Linked DNA regions of Caenorhabditis elegans. The protein of the gene in region 2 purifies or fractionates together with the protein of the main gene of each other region. This does not show direct contact. Each region holds a gene or a part of one and is shown on either strand. Other genes may lie near its edges.

What was found.
Region 1: the proteins of tmc-2 (region 2) and Y106G6E.4 fractionate together in Caenorhabditis elegans (co-fractionation; one large-scale study listed by BioGRID). This does not show direct contact.

Annotation. Positions count from the first base shown.
Region 1 is NC_003279.8:10,221,046-10,224,715, forward strand, and holds Y106G6E.4 (putative 5-formyltetrahydrofolate cyclo-ligase), read right to left. Parts: upstream 1,734-3,670; coding exon 1,494-1,733; intron 1,174-1,493; coding exon 1,041-1,173; intron 993-1,040; coding exon 745-992; 3' UTR 597-744; downstream 1-596. Other genes in the region: ced-12 (Cell death abnormality protein 12), read right to left, coding at 1,928-2,069, 2,149-2,386, 2,438-2,664, 2,710-3,060, 3,107-3,640. UniProt on the Caenorhabditis elegans protein: Contributes to tetrahydrofolate metabolism. Helps regulate carbon flow through the folate-dependent one-carbon metabolic network that supplies carbon for the biosynthesis of purines, thymidine and amino acids.
Region 2 is NC_003284.9:9,301,924-9,305,679, reverse strand, and holds the start of tmc-2 (Transmembrane channel-like protein 2), read right to left. Parts: upstream 1,957-3,756; 5' UTR 1,899-1,956; coding exon 1,758-1,898; intron 1,456-1,757; coding exon 1,373-1,455; intron 1,314-1,372; coding exon 1,173-1,313; intron 1,123-1,172; coding exon 858-1,122; intron 574-857; coding exon 451-573; intron 399-450; coding exon 253-398; intron 187-252; coding exon 89-186; intron 41-88; coding exon 1-40. UniProt on the Caenorhabditis elegans protein: Probable ion channel.

The DNA of each region.
Region 1 (3,670 bases), on a different chromosome or scaffold from region 2:
AGAGGTATGTAGAGTATATGATATATGATAATGTTCCACCTTTCAAGCTTTCCAGGGATTCGAAGTCAGAGTGACCACTCGTCAAGCAAGGGAGAAAAAGCAAAGGTATGTTGATCATGATAACCTTTTTGAAATAATAATATTTGCAGTGCGGATCGGGAGACCAAAATTGACCTCGTGTTCAACAAGTTTGAGAGTGAACAATGATTACTATGTATTGACTTTAAATGAATATTTTTGTTCAGTTTCGTGTAGTTGCTCTTCATGTAAATTACAGGGCTTCTATCATATATCGATTTAACTACATCAGTCCTCATCTCGGTCTATCTGAACTGTGTGATATTAGTGAAACCATTGAATGTATCTAATTTTTGCTAATTAATGTCTTCAGGCCTTTGAATCCTTTCGTTTTGTGTGAGCAAGTTTTCAGATATATTTACAGGCTTTTGGGACAATGCTATGCAGTTCTATGGGGCATTTCAGAACATCTCCACAAGTTTTCGTGGTGGGACCTAAAATTGAAACACCTCGGAAGGCTAGAATGCTTCTAACTAATGACTGAATAATCTATGAAAAAATTATATATAACTGTAGTTCAAAAAAGTTTATTCAGTTAACAAATGCAAGAAATTGTATCACAAAACCATTTGAGGAATGTCTGAAAAATCACTTATAAATTGGCGAGAGAAATTTAAAAAAAAATCTCAATATCACAATCGGGAATATTATTTAGAGTGTGAAGCCTTAAATAGTATCAAAAATAATAGTTTCTCCTTCATAGATAACCTCATCAAGTTCAACATCAGTTTCAGAAATAGGAATTGTACCAATAATTTGCTCACGAAGAGCCAATCCTATCTTTTTTGGGGAGTTTTCTGGAAAATGTTTGTGATGAGTGGAGAAGAAGCGATCGTAATATCCTTTTCCATGACCACAACGAAGTCCATATGGTGAGAAGGCAACGCCGGGTGCAAGGATCAAATCCAGTGGTCCTGTAAGTACTTATAAATTGGAGTTATATTATTAAAAAGCAGTCACACCTGTTTCATGATAGCTTTGCCATTTCCATTTCGGTTCTGGCTGTCTGATTCCCCAAAGTGTTGAAGGAAGATTGTCAAAAGCAGTTTGATCCGGAACTCGAACCATATCCATTGCAGTTGAGCCCTTCGTGAACTGAAATTTTTACATTTGTGACTTCAATAAATTATACTTGCTGTACGTGCCTGTCTCCCTGGATTCATATATAATATCTGCCTAGGTACTAATTGCCTGCCTACTACAAACGATTACAGCCTTCATGTCTAGGGGCCTACTTTACGCCTACCTCGCAAGTGCCTTAGTTCTGCCTGGCTACGTGCCTGCCTGCCTTTATTCATAGCTCATATCTGCCTACTTCTTGTCGGCCTACCTGCTTTATTTCTGCCTGCCTATGTGCCTACCTACATGCCTACATCTTAACATCTATTGCGCATCTGTTTCAAAATAAATTTTACCTGTGGAATGAAAACTTCTTTTCCCATTTCCAACGCTTTTTGAATAATCGAATCAGTTTGTATTTCTCCCGATGTACTAACATAAACTGACAATCTCTTGCTCTCTTGAAACCATTTCGATTCAATTATTTTTTCAAAAACCGCCTCTGTTTGACGTTGAGTTTCTTCTTTCGAAATTTTTCCGAGCAATGTCTTCATAAACTGCCTGAGCTCTGATTTTACCTCTTTTATAGCACTCATCTGAAAATGTTGGTCAAAAATTTGTTTTCAAGAGATTCAGAAAACTGTTAGTGGCCTGTAGTTAATGGCTCGTTATTCAAATTAAGTTAAATACACAGTAATAGGCATAAATTACAAAATTTATTATGCACATGGAAATGTTTTGCCTTTCAATATGGTAAAATGCACGTAAGAATGATAAAGCTTGAATATGATTAAAACTTTGAAATAAAGCTTTTGATATCGTCAGGGATCGGTGGAATTTCTGGTTTCTCCTCGGGGTTCGTGAGTTTCACATTGAGAAGGCGAACTCGTAGCTCCATTTTCAGCATTCGTTCAACCATTGCATCGGTTTCACTGAAAATATTTCAATTGGTATTTTCGGGGCTTCCTATTCTTCAGGTTACTGTAACTACAGTAACCAATGTCTAGATACCTTTTAACTGCCTTGCTCCCAATCAATTCAGCAAGACCTTCAAGCCATATAACAGATTGAGTTTCATCGGATGTCAATGCCATTAAAACTTCGCCTTCTTTCATATCATTTGTTGTTTTTAATTGTACACGAATCCCTCTTAACATTTGTGTAGATGGAGAAGAAGTGAATCGAGATGAGCTTGCTTTTCTATCAATCTCATCATTATTTGTTACATCAGCAATATCTTTGATCCAAACTGAAAATAAATTAATTTATTATTTGAGAACTAATTCAATATTCCCCCAACCTTGCCGAATATCATCTCTCTGCACACCTTCCACATAGTTCTCACCATCACATCCAGTTATAGTGAGCATTTTCTCCGATGCATCGAGCTTCCAATGCCAGAAGGCGAGCTTTGCGAGGGATTTACTTTTCTGTGGTTTTCGAAAAACGGCGCCTAACTTCAAATAGTTTAGATGATTTATTCGAACCAATTCCTCCATTTTTGGCCGCAATTTCGATTTTAGTTGTCTGAAAATATGTATACGAATAAGTTATTGGAATTTTCAGACTTACATCACAGCTTCACTATGTAATTGAATATTTTCCTTTCCCAATTGTTCCTCTCTCCAAATTTCTTGCATTGCCCTATACGAAAAAGTCTCCAAATCCGCAGATAGTTCTTCTACATCTTGTATTTCCCGTCTTTTCAGCACATGCCGTAACTGTTCCAGTACAACACACGCAACTTTCTCCATTTCACCTCCTTTTGCCTGCATCTCACGCCATGTTCGATGGAAAAGGTGTACAATACATGCGAATACAGCTGGAAATGGAGTCTCCGTGGAAAAGAGAACTACAATCAAACGATCCAACTCATCACGACCAGGTATTACTCTGAACAATTCTGCGGCAATGTCACAGCACCTGAATTTAAAAAATCATCAGAACATCTTTACGTTTGCAAAAAAACCTCATCCACATTGGAATCAGTTGCCATTTTCCTCCTTCAATCCTCATTGTATTCTCCGAAATTAGCATTCTCAGATCTTGCGGACTTTTTTCTGCAAATTGAACCATCGAAATTGCAGCCAACCGTCCACATCGGTGTTCCCCAATTTGTGATTTCCACATTTCTCTGATCTCCTCGGAAACATCCTCACTGGATTCAATATCAAGAATTTTCTGAACTTCAGCATCAGTAGGAGGTGAAGTTTCATATGCACTAATCAGACTCCTTTGAACCTCAACAAGTTGTTCAATAGCATTCAGATTTCGAACACCACCACCACCACGTAGAAGAGAACTGTGTACAGCATTACGGAATGGAACGACTTCTAAAGATTTAATAAGTTCAAATCGTTTTTCATCATCAGGACATCTTCTTATCATTGAATTCATTAGTGAAAGTGCACAAAGAGCAATTCGTTCATCTGATTTTTCAACGTGTCGAATGAGAGTCTCTATTGGAACTTCTTCGAGAATCCAATCACGAGTTGTATCGTCACTGTAAATTATACAATAAATAGAAAAATGG
Region 2 (3,756 bases):
ACGTTTGCCATATAGACATTTCCAGCAGTTTCAGGATTACCTAAATTTTCAGAATATAAAATTAATCTCGAAAAAACTGAACGCTCACCTATAGTATAATCCCAGCCTGTGAAAGCTTTCCAATTGAATAAATACTGTTGCGTTTTTCCTGATGATAAGGTCCCACGACGATTGTTAGCCGCCATTCTTTAATTAGGACGAGTTTGTTTTTTTTTCTGTTCTATCTGATTTTCTTTTTTTTTTCAAACTCACTTCCTCAAGATGATGAAAAGTGAAAATCCTAGAATAAAAATGTTGCAGAAAAAATAAGCCACTGGAACACGATATTTGATTGTTTCTCCGAAAAACGTTTCTTTCGAGTAAAAACCGTAAAATAATAAAGAGTATTGAAAGTAGCCCTGAAAAAAAAACCATTGAACATTGGTTTTATCTGTTATCATTACAACTCACCCCAAAGTCCCAGACTGTGGATAGCTCGTCGGCACGAGCACGAACAGCTGGTGGCATTACTTTGATGGCCTTTGTCTTATTGTATCTGTCATCACCGAATTGAGTTCGAGAGTCGGCGAGCCACTGAAAATTATAATCTGAGGTGTAAAACCAAGACATATCATCATTAAAAAATCTCGTGCACGTCAGAATGTTCTATTTTGGCTTGATCATCAAAAACTGCTGGAATTTAGACGCTTCTAGACGCGAATTCCTTTACTGATTTAGCATGATTAAAAGCGTGCTGACGTCAAATTTTTCCGGGCGAACAATTCCCGCATTTATTGTACATCAAACTTTTCTTTAGTTCAAAATTGGAGGCCCTATTTTTGAAGCGTTGAAGTTTTTATAAGCTTGTAGAAGCTCACCTCAGGTATAACTACGAACATACACATAATAAATGTGATTGTGATGTTAACTCCGAGAACCCATCGATGAAATGTAAAATATGACGACACAACTGATCCAAAGTGGCTTTCAATTTTTCGAATCTTTGCTTCCCAGGGTATCAAATAAATTTTGAGATTATCCAACCATCGACTGGCTTGTGTCAATCTTCGACCAGCCTCTGCTTTGTATAATCTTGCTTTCGAGACTTTTGCTTCTTGCTGTTGTAGATGTTTTTGTGCTACTCTGAAATTTCCGATTTTGACGTTTCGCTCAAATGTTCATAGCGGTCTTACTTCAACGTCCGCCGTTTTCTTTTCATATACCACGGCTGGCCACGTAATTTTTGTATAATTTCTTTCTTTTGTTGAATTTTCTTGAGTATCCTATCTTTCGAAGCTTCTTTGTCGTCTTCTTCGTCGAATTCGTCATCGTCACTGTAATGTGAAAATTGAACAAAATGCTGGAAAGTGAATAAATTTTTTGGAAAACTCACTCGTCAAAATTGGGATTTCCTAATCGTGTATGTGGTCGAACAAGAACACTGGAGGAACGGCGAAAAAGAGAAAGCAGATCAGCCTGAAAATCAAATTAATTTAAATATATGAAACAAGTGTTAGCTGTTATAATCTGGACTTGGAAACATTTTTACTCTTTCACAACTTCAGAGCAATACTATATAATTTTTGAATTGATAGTTTTTATACACCTTGATTGTTTCTGTGAATTTCAAGAGCATACGTTTTTGTCTTAACAAATGAAAACTAAACGTTTATTTCACTTCTAGTTTTTACGAAATTGTAATTCATTTTTTAAATAATTTTTATTTATAAAATACTGCATAATTGTCAAGAATTTACAAAGCGAGTTTGAAAACGTACAATAACTGACGATCTTCTACTCATTCGACTATCAATTTCCTCTTCAGAAACATCCGCTAGAGACTTAACGGACTGTCCTGTTTCCCCACCATCATCAGTGTCATGTCGAACCAGAGGCTGATGAGCGCCTGATTTCGGCATCGTGCTTTAGATGACTGCACGCCGGCGTCCACTGCTCGATGCGTCCAGTTGACAGCTTCTTAGATGATCAATAATATTATTTATTTTTAGCACTAAATCTCTCATAGAAAGACAACGGGAAGATTGCGGATCGGAAGTGGTTTGTGAGTAATGGCGATTGCGATATGATTAGAAAAAAGCAAACGTTTAAGAGAGAACACGGAGACAATTGACGGAGTGAAGTCATTTTTTGCGCGTCTGAGAAACTTAACAAGATGGAAAAGAGCGGTTATCTGATGGTGGTGGATGACGCGGGCCATGTGTCTGGTGTGAGCCACATTATGTAAAAATTGTGATATGAAACAAGTGATAGTGAGCGCGGCCAGCGGGAGGTGCTCGAAATGCAACAAGCGATGTAATGAATGAAATTTTTGCGGGTTGGAGACCGAAAAGAAGCACACAGAAGAGTAGTCTGTGACAGAAGACACGCAAGAAACACAGAGCAAAGACACATTTTTTGCCTTTGACTCGTCGTCGGCCAAGGAGAAAAAAGACGACGGGTCTGGGAAGGATATTGATAACAATTGATGAGAAAAGAGCAAATTGGAGATGAGTTTGCAACCACCTCACGTTTGATTTTGATGTCGATGGCAAATAACACAAGCCACCGTCTGTCTCAATCTCTTGTTGATGCGGTTTCTTTTTCGAGGCCAATCTACAGAGCAAAACATACTCATCAGATTGCCGATCTAATTCGCGAGTAAGAAGTTCGCAATTGAGCACGTCTGAATTGAAAAAAAAAAACGAACATCGCTAGGAAAACATTTGCGGAGGAAATGAGCAGTGGAAAGGAGGAGAGGGGTCGTAAACTTAAGAGGGGATGTAAAATTTGAGTATCAGTGTCATAAAGATCTTCGTTGTTCCATTTAGTTTTTAATGTTTTCTTTTTTAACAATTAGTTCGAATCCTAAGTGAATTTTTGAGTTAAAACAGAGATTTTAAATGTCGAGAAATGAAGACGTAAAAAGTGAAGAGGTTTGAATTTAAAAAAAACGGTTTACACCATATTTTCATGTTTTTCATAATTTTACAAGTATAAAAGTATTTTCTAAATTTCCTGACTTAATTAGTACACACATAATGAATTATATAGTACTTAAAAAGGAGAATTTGTTGAATATTTCTTAATATCAAGTGTCAACATGGCAAGGTGTCTTAATATGGTATTTGACAATTCCACTATTTTATTTTTTTACATCTTAATTTCCCTCAATGTTGTTTGTTTTTGGAAACAATTATTTAATACACATAGAAGGACCCGTAAAAATTGTAACAATTTGTATCTGTTTTAAAGATGAAACAGAGAATAAATACTTAAACTTCTAACTGTTGCAGCAACAACATATGTTTTTTTAATCTAACTAAAAACAATATACAAAATATGTTTTAAAATATAAAAAACTCCTTCATGTTTCAAATTTTTGGGATAAGAATAATAGAAACATTTCTTGAGGGACATGGTGTGAAATGCGATCTCTCGAACTTTTTGGACTTTCAAAGAGAAAATAAGAACAACATATCTCTCAAGTGTCGGAAAGGTCAGGTGCAATTCGATAGAGGTGAAATTAGAGAAAATCATACAATCTAAAAATTACGCAAAAAAGTAGTAGTCCGGTCGGATGTGACAATCAAACAAAAATGTGGTGTTCTTCTTTATCTTCAGGCTCAACTCTTCTTGTCAACCTTCGTTTTCTCCTCTCAAAGCAATATCTCCCCCCACCGAACCAACGCTAGTTACATCCTCTTCCCCGACAAATGCTTCTTCTCATTCTGCCGGTGGACGGACACCATTGTCGAGAGATAAGCAGGAGATATAGAG